2 linked regions of the Mus musculus genome follow. The protein of the gene in region 1 purifies or fractionates together with the protein of each later gene. This does not show direct contact. Links are inferred from orthologs where the notes say so. Each region holds a gene or a part of one and is shown on either strand. Other genes may lie near its edges. The genes, in order: Uqcrb and Cox6b1.

Evidence for each region.
Region 2: the proteins of Uqcrb (region 1) and Cox6b1 purify together in Homo sapiens (affinity purification with mass spectrometry; 3 studies listed by BioGRID and IntAct, counting the BioPlex papers as one, with this or other methods). This does not show direct contact. The link is inferred for Mus musculus from reciprocal best matches to the Homo sapiens genes UQCRB and COX6B1.

What each region holds. Positions count from the first base shown.
Region 1 is NC_000079.6:66,902,398-66,906,830, forward strand, and holds the start of Uqcrb (cytochrome b-c1 complex subunit 7), read right to left. Parts: upstream 2,954-4,433; 5' UTR 2,915-2,953; coding exon 2,896-2,914; intron 405-2,895; coding exon 333-404; intron 1-332. UniProt on the Homo sapiens protein: Component of the ubiquinol-cytochrome c oxidoreductase, a multisubunit transmembrane complex that is part of the mitochondrial electron transport chain which drives oxidative phosphorylation.
Region 2 is NC_000073.6:30,623,015-30,627,607, forward strand, and holds the start of Cox6b1 (cytochrome c oxidase subunit 6B1), read right to left. Parts: upstream 3,101-4,593; 5' UTR 3,037-3,100; intron 1,600-3,036; 5' UTR 1,592-1,599; coding exon 1,486-1,591; intron 502-1,485; coding exon 401-501; intron 1-400. UniProt on the Homo sapiens protein: Component of the cytochrome c oxidase, the last enzyme in the mitochondrial electron transport chain which drives oxidative phosphorylation.

The sequences.
Region 1 (4,433 bases):
GCTTCCAGAAGTCTTCCTCTAACCTCCACAAGCACACCTTGGTATATGTGCAACTGATAAATTTTTTAAAGGCATAAAGAACTCAAATTTATACCAAGAAACCCTAAGATCTGCTGATGCTTCCATTCGGCTTCTAGACCACAATGTGAAGTTCACTGCTAAGTAGACAACACTAAGTTCAAACACCACATAAAGATCAAAAATTCAAAAACAGTTTATTTTTAAATCTGATACACACAAAAACAAATGATCTCTTTTGAACTATAGGAATTCTTTAAAAGTACTGAATTCAGGGAGAACAAGAGAAGGAGGACCACAGAATGGATACTCACCCAGTTTATTGAATCCTGCAGCATTATAATACCACTTTCGAAAACCATCCAGCCACTTGCTTGATGCTGAAACTATAATTACCACAATGTTAGTTGCTACAATATACTTACAAAGCAATAGACCAATTGGTAAAGAACCAGTTATCTTATAAACCTAAGAATCCCCTTGTATACAATGTAGATAATCATTTCACTCATGACACTGTGGGAACAAATGGTAAACTCAAAACTAAAGGTGCCTAATAGCCACAGGTATACTTCCTGCCACTTTGGGTTCTCAGAGTCCAACACCCTTCTCCTGCTACCATAAGAACTGAAGGACCAGAGACAGGAAAGGATCTGAAGCACTTCTGTCTTTTGTAGCTGCGGAAATAACTTTTTCTTTTCCAAGGAGGTGGAGCTATAAGATTTCAGGTTAAGTGGCAGGCCTCTAGTCTCCAAAACTTTTAGTTTACATTGTCTTATTTGGCTATCATCCTTAAAATTATAATTTTACATAAAATATAATTTATAATTATTTCTAGAAAAACTTTCATACTATCAGCTAATTTAAATACCAATATATTAGTAAAAGAAGCCTATTTTCCTTTTCTCAAACAGCAAACTGTTCGTCAAGGGAATAATAGTATTTGAACATGGATAAGAAGAAACATTCAATGTTAAATTTAAATCTCTTAATGTAACAAAGCATGCCTGTAATCTCAGCATGCAGGAAGTTGAGACTGTGAATACCAAGCCTTGTGTAAACAAACAAACAAACAAACAAACAAACAGAGATACAAAAACTAAAATAGGGGCTGGGAATATGGTTCAGCCTTAGAGTTCGTGCCTAGCATGCAAAAAACTCTATTCAAAAACAAACTTAAACCATTTGGGGAAGAAGACTGAGCCTGAGAGAGGTAAAGGAGAAGAGGCAAGGAAGCAGGAGAGTGCCTGATGTTGACCAGACGTGGTACAAGAAAGAAGATAGAGCAAGCTTAACCTTTCTTTTTAAAATGTGAGGGGTAGGGGAGGGAACATGTGACTGCCAGAGGACGTTGTCATCCTTTTCATTTTTGAGATGGCATCTCTCACTGGCTTGGAAGTGCCAAGTACATTAGGCTAAAAGGCCAGTGAACCCCAAGATCACTTGTTTCCTTGTCTCCAGCTCTAGGATTAAAAGCATGGATTAGGGCTACTGAGACGTGTCTCATATAATGGAACTCAGTTTATTTAAAAAGAAAAAGCTCAACAAACAAAATGGGTTCTGAGAACCGAAATCAGGCCAGTATTTACATTGCAAGGCAAACTTTTTACCAACTGAGCTATATTCTCAGTCCCTAAGCGTTAAGGCTACTTTCTTACCATAGAAGGAAAAAGAGGCTCCCTTCTTATTATCTCCTTCTAATTTCCTAATCCTCAGTACAGATTACTACATGGCTTCCTCCAACCTTTAAATTAGAAGTCATGCATAAAATTGTTTCTAAGAGAAATTTAAATTGTCAAGGGCTAATGCTCAGTTGGTATATTGCTTGCCTAACATACACCACAAAGCCCTGGGCTCCAACTCCAGCACTACATAAAACATGCATAGTGATTCATTCCTGCAATTCCAGCATTTTTAGGGTGGAGGAAAAAAGAATCAGAGGTTCAAGGTCATTCTTCAATACACAGCTAACTTGGGCTACCCTGGCTCAAAAAATAAAAATATTAAAAAAAAGCATAAGAACTAAATTGTTAACACAGCAGTGATTATAATATCGATTAATATTTACTTAACAAATGTGTCAGGCACTACTCTGTTTGCCACATTATAGATCAAAAGCCTGTTGCAGAAAAGGAAGCTGGCTTACGTAAGTATTAAACTCAACAAAACAGAATACTTTTCCTAAAATTGTGTCAAATGGGTAAAATTAATGCCTTCAGAATTTCCAGGGACTGTGAGAAGGTTATCAGTATTGTTTTTAAAGACTATTCCAACGTATACCATCAGTGGGCAAAGATTAAGCTTTAAAAAAAAATAGGAGGGGAGAGGGTGAGTAATATTTGATGTGAAAACATTCTGGCACTCTATCTCAAATTTGTTCTAGTGCCTACATTAAACAAAAGTCCTTACAGCCCTGCAGCCCCAGCTCACCGTCCAGATATGCCAAGGTTAACCTGAAACCTCACTATAACCCTATCTTACTTCCTTTTAATTCTTCTGACAAGTCTTAGGAGCGTCATGCGGGCTCGGGCGCTGTTTGCTCCGATCACTGTCACTGAAGTGGCCTGCGCCTGACTCCAAATGCTCCCCACTACTCGCTGTGGCTGTCGTCTGCTGACCTCCTCACCTCCCTAAGCTGTCCCAAGGCGGAGGGGAAGGAGGCCGAACCCGGTCAGCCCCGCTGGGCTCCTTCCGGCAGAGGTCCCTGTTCTAACCCTCAGGCAGGCCCGACCTGGCTCAGCGAAACCTGTCCTTTGAGCTGCTGGGTCGCCACGTCTCTTATCACAAACTAGCTATTTAGCTAACGCAAAAGGAGAACAAGTTCGTGAGAAAATACAACCGCTCCACGATACCCACAAAGGAGGAGTAATTACTCACCAGCAGATCGGCCCGCCATTTTGACCTGAGAGTGAAGCGCTGCCTTCTGGGTAAGTCCTAGAGGACACGCCGGGCTCCTACGCAGGCGTCCTGGATACTTTAGGAAGGGGAAGGGAGGGGCAGGCGCTGCTCTGACCGCCAGCAGAAGGCATTTACTCTTTCCTACCTGAATGGACTCCACACATTAGGCTGATCTTTTTGTGTGCCTTGTTACAAAAAACATTCTTCGCGACACAATGGGGAAAGTACTGCGAAATTAGGAGACAGTGTTATTCAATGCTCTGTTATAGGAAAGAACCTTTGCGGAATAAATGGAGTCTTGGAGACAGGTAATGTAGTAAATGATTTTCAGGCAAACCGCATCTCAAAATGCATGGAGGGGATGCTAGGACGCTAGAGGACGCTTGATGCTCAAATTCTTTATGTCAAATGGTGCGGTGTTTTAATATAATGTATACACTATTGCATTCTTTAAATCACCTCAGGATTACTTTAATACAGAATATAAAGTAAGCACCACACAAATAACTGTTATACTGCACTATTTTGGAAGTAACACAGGTATAATGAACATTTATAGTTAACACAGATATACCCCTTCCCGATCTGTGGTAGACTCAATCTATAGGTCTGCAATCTTTGGGTTCAGAAGTGTGGCTATATTCTCATTTAATTCTAAATCATCAGTGTAATTACTGGTGCTATCAGTATTGAAGAGAGAAGGAAGCTGAGCCTCAGAAAAGTTCAATAAGTTATCCAAGGGCATTGAAATTGGGTAGAGTCCAGGTTTGTTTGTTTGTTTGTTAACTAGAATTGAGAAATCCAGTTTCAAATTCGGGCTTCCTTATTTCTAGGATCATATGCTGCACAACCAATCCCAGATAACTTTCAGCTTCTAGGCTTCACTTTCCCCACCTAAAAATCCCTATCAAACAATTTTAGTAGAAAGTTAGGTTGGATAAGCTTTAAAAATATTAACTTTAAGGTAGGAGTAAATGGCACATGCAAGATCCAAGAATTCAGTAGTCTGAGGCAGGAGGATCCCTGCAAGTTCAAGACTACAGTTGTCTACATAGTGAATCTGGCATCAGTCTGCAAGACCTTACCTAAAACAAAACAACAACAACAAAACCCCTAAGATATATTTAGAATTTGCATATAGTATTAAAAATGGAGCAAGCAGAAAGACTATAGACTGTGCTTTCAAGATCTCAACCCCAACAGGTAGAGTCTAAAATAAAAAACTAAGGACAGAAAGTGGAGTTACTGTTGAGTTTTACTATGACTCGATAGTGGTCTTTTTTTTTTTTTTTTTTGAGGTAGATACTATTTATTATTTCTTGGTTTCCCTCTCATTGACATCAACTATCTTTTCTGAATTTTGGACTGGATTTAATGTCAAAAATACAGAAATGAGCTGGGCAGTGGTGGTGCACGCCTTTAATCCCAGCACTTGGGAGCCAGAGGCAGGCAGATTTCTGAGTTCGAGGCCAGCCTGGTTTACAAAGTGAGTTCCAGGACAGCCAGCAGGGCTATAC
Region 2 (4,593 bases), on another chromosome or scaffold:
ACACCAAATTAAATAGCACATTTTGATTTTAAGACACGTGTTTGGGGGCCTTTTTTCCCCCTCGGCGTTTTGAGACAGGGTTTCTCTGTATAGCACAGGCTGTCCTGGAACTAGCTCTGTAGACCAGGTTGGCCCCAAACTCAGAGAGATCTGCCTGCATCTGCCTCCCAAGAGTGCTGAGAATTAAAGCCGTGGGCCACTACTGCCCAGCCCAAGCCTGTGTTTCTTCAGTGCATGGGCAAGGAGGGTGGTCCTGGGCTAAGGGCCCTCACTGAGCAGGGATCAGTGACATTCCATGGCTGGTCCTCGCTTGACCCTTGGAGGTGAACTCTCACTAGCCATACTCGTCTCTGCTACCTCCCTACCTGACCACCCAAGGGTCCCGTCGGGAGGCACATACCCATGACACGGGACAGAGGGACTTGTACACACGCCGGTACCACTCACACACGGAGACATCACCCCCCTTGGCCGTCATTGCCTTCTCACAGCGGTGGAAGTCTGTGAAGAAAAGAGGTTCCAAATCAACCCCGACTAAGCACATTTCAGAGGAAAATCCACAAATGCTTTTTGCTTTAAGATTGCTTATACATACAGAGGGAATGCAAACTTACAAGTACACCATAAAGAGCTATATACGCCTGACCTGGGCAGTTATATAGAACATTCTGGAGCTAGGAATGACAGCAAAGTATGAGGGGCATATATCAGAATTATGGAAGTCCAGACAGGGCTAGGGAAGGGGAAGGTAGTGTTGATCATATCTGAGGAAGACAGGACAGGTACCAGCGGGGTTTTTAATTCTTGTTAATGGTTAGTTTTTTGTTTTTTGTTTTTCTTTGTTGAGGGAAGGTCTCATGGGCTCAAGTAAGGCAGGGGCCCCAAATGTCTCTAGCAAAGAGAGAGGAAAGGGACAGTGTTTAAGACCGGGCCCAAAGCAAGCTGAGAGCAGAGTACTGGCAATATTCATTTTTATCCATGGATTGTGACTATGTCTGAATCAACTTTTTTTTTAAAGATTTATTTATTAATATATCAAGTACACTGTAGCTGTCCTCAGATGCACCAGAAGAGGGCGTCAGATATCATTACGGGTGGCTGTTAAGCCACCATGTGGTTGCTGGGATTTGAACTCAGGACCTTCGGAAGAGCAGTCAGTGCTCTTACCTGCTGAGCCATCTCACCAGCCCCTGAATCAACTGTTTACATACTGTATTTACTTGTATGTTGTGTGTGTATGTGGCACACACATAAGATGTATATGTAATTCATATATACATGTATAATTATATTCTTCAAAAAATTTATTGTTGAGACCAAAGTTTATGACCTGGAGAGCTAGTTTGAGGGGTCGGGCCCTCCAGAGGGTACGTCCAGAGTGAAGGAAACCAGGCTGGAACGCACATGTCCCTGCTCCCCAACTTCCTTTCTGAGGTTGGAGGTACATGGGAGACCCAGGCAGGCCCACTATGGTACTCTGCTTACCCAGGTAGTTCTGCCAACAGTTCTTAGTCTGGTTCTGGTTGGGGAAGCGGCTGTCAAAGGGGGCAGTTTTGTAGTTCTTGATTTTAGTCTTGATGTCTTCAGCCATCCTGACTCCTGGATGCAAACAGAGTGGGAATGTTGGCAACCATTCTGGAGGTGCTGGGTGTGGGGATGTCAGGCCAGAGCAGAATAACAGGCTGAATGTGAATAAACCATTATCTCCCCCTTCTTCACAAACACAGAAAGATGAAGGGCAGGGAAAACCCATATATCTGAGTACAGAAGCCACAGTAGGGTTGGACAGAGGTCTCCTTGGCAAAACCAATCTTCATCCTTAAATTCCAGTTAACGCTCACTGTGTGCACAGCACATACTATGTGTACTCTATACATACCTACCCCATGGCCACTCTAAAAGATATTGCTACCTCTGTTGTCTACACAAGGGACAGGGTGTCTAAATGACTTTCCAAGGTCACACAGCACCCAGTGATAATGCTTCATCCATCACCAGCAAAAACACTGCAAGGATTTTCTGGTGTCACCGGCTAGTTTTCTGGCGTCACACACTCATCTGAGGTCCAATGAACTCAAACTTTGCTCAGAATATGCCTAAATGCATTGTGGGATTGCCTAAGATGTGTCCCCCCCCACCCCGCTCCAAAAAAAAAAAAAAAAAAAAGCTCAAAGGACTTAACAAGTAAAGTACAACTGGAGGTAACCATGACTGAAGATTTGTGACTCTTGTAACTGGCATGTGTCAGGTATCTGTGATTTTGCCTGCTGACAATGGCCCAGGCTACCAAATCTATTGACGTTGCTGCCTCCATTCCTAATGGAAGTAAATACTGGAATTCGATTAGAACCCCACGCAAACCGCCCCCCCCCCAATCATTCAAATACTTTAGCTCCTTGAGTTTTATCGACTTCTCTCAGCTTTGATATGTCTGAAGAGATGACATAGTCAATATCAACAGACCTGAGAGAAACTGTCTCTAGAGCATCTGGGGGACCTTGACACCACAGAGGTGCCAGTGTCAACTGAAGTAGTCCAAACAAGTGGGGTATTTGGGCAGGTTCATTGAAGGAGGCAAGGTGGGCACGGGGGATTTAAAAGACTCAGTGTCGGAAGTAATTTTGGACAATATCTCGAGTTTTGAGAGTTGATCAAAGATGACGCTGAGGGGAAAGACACGAGTCAAGGCGACAGGCTTCGGCCTTGGAACGCGGGTGGCCACGCCTGTGAACTCGCAACTAAAAGCTCCACAGTCCAATTTACTGGGTCTAAATCCGAATTGCCTTATAGCCACGGGTAAGGCGCTTCACACTCCAGCCCCAACGCTATCAAAGGGGACTTGTAGGGCTGAAGGATGGAGTAATAGGGACTGCTTAGAAAGCGACCTAGCCATCATGAAGAAAGGCGGCTATAATGGTTAGCTCCAGGACACCGGACCCGTGGCCGCCGGAAGTTTCTGCTTGGCGTCAGGGAAGCCCCGGGGCGCTTCTCTGCAACGGACAAGGTTCCCCCAGGATCCCGACCCTTCACACTCACCTAAAGATTGTCCCGGAGTAGCGTTACTTCAATGTGACCCTTAGCAAAGACGCCAATGTCAGACGGGAAGCGGAATTCCGACTGGCCGGAAGCTGCGAGAGGAGGAGCCGAGCTGAGTCCTCCGGGCTGCTAGATTGGCCTCGGGAGGCGTGCCCAGAAACCGCTTTGGCCACGCCCACTTCCGAAGAAGCCCGACCTCCTATTGAGCTAAATTTCTGCTTATTATTGTTGCTGGGCCAATCGAGATTTTACTTTGCTCTTAAAAGGCACCTGACGTTCAATTATGGGTTATTATCACCTGCCTGTCCTTCCCAGAGGGAAAAGCATAAGACTGTCTTCAGAGTGGGAATGGAAAAGTGTCACAGATAATCTGTGTTTTGAAATAGGACTTCGCTGTATATCTCAGACTGGCCTCGAAATTTTGATCACAGATTACTAGGTGTTAGGATAACAAGCGTTTACCCCTGTGCCTTGATTCGAAAGTTATTTATATTTATTTATTTGGGTTTTCGGGATAGACAATCTTAGTTTGTGTTTTATTGCAGTGAAGAGACATCATGTCTACGGCAACTCTTTGTTTGTTTGTTTGTTTGTTTGTTTGTTTGTTTTTCGAGACAGGGTTTCTCTGTATAGCCCTGGCTGTCCTGGAACTCACTTTGTAGACCAGGCTGTCCTGGAACTCACTTTGTAGACTCAGAAATCCGCCTGCCTCTGCCTAACTAGTGCTGGAATTAAAGGCATGGGCCACCACGCCCGGTTTATGGCAACTCTTATAAAGGAAAACAATTAAGGGCTGGCTTACAGTTTCAAGTTTCGTCCATTATCATCATAATTGGAAGCAATGTGGTGAATTGCTCTGATCCTTGAGGGTTGCTGTTTCTGCTGCTTTTCTGCATAAACTGGAATCCAGAAGAAGTAGGCTCCAAAGGAAGTACTGGCAAAGCAAGTACCTGTCCCTTCTTCCATTGTCCTTATATAGGCCTCCAGCAGAAGATATGGCCCAGAATAAAAGTGTGCTTCAAGACCTGTAGGAGTCATTCCTCCTAGAGGTCTGGATCAAAAGCCTGTGTCTTCCAGCCTTAAGGTCCAGATTACAGGCATGTTGTCTTCCTGCCTCAAGTCCGGATTACAGGTGTTCCCTATGTTTCTGGATTATAGTTCATTCTATATATAGTCAAGTTGATAATTGAGAGTAGCCATCCACATAGGGGTTCTCTGTGTAGCCCTGGAAACTCATCTATCTATCTATGGGTGTCCTAGAACTCACTCTGTAGGCCAGGCTGGCCTCGAATTTTTATCTGCCTGCCTCTGCCTCCCCGAGTGCTGGGATTAAAGTGCTGACATGGGTTTAAGTTAATAGAAAGTTTTTATTAGGTCTCCAGTGATTACACTAGGTGTTTGGGATCTTGGTGTAGCACCAAGCCCTTTTTAGAGTGAATTTTTACACACAAAACCTGTATTCTGGATTGACATAATTCAGTTCATAAGATAGCTAGCTGGACAGTGGTGGTGCACGCCTTTAATGCCAGCATTTGGGAAGTAGAGGCAGGAGAATCT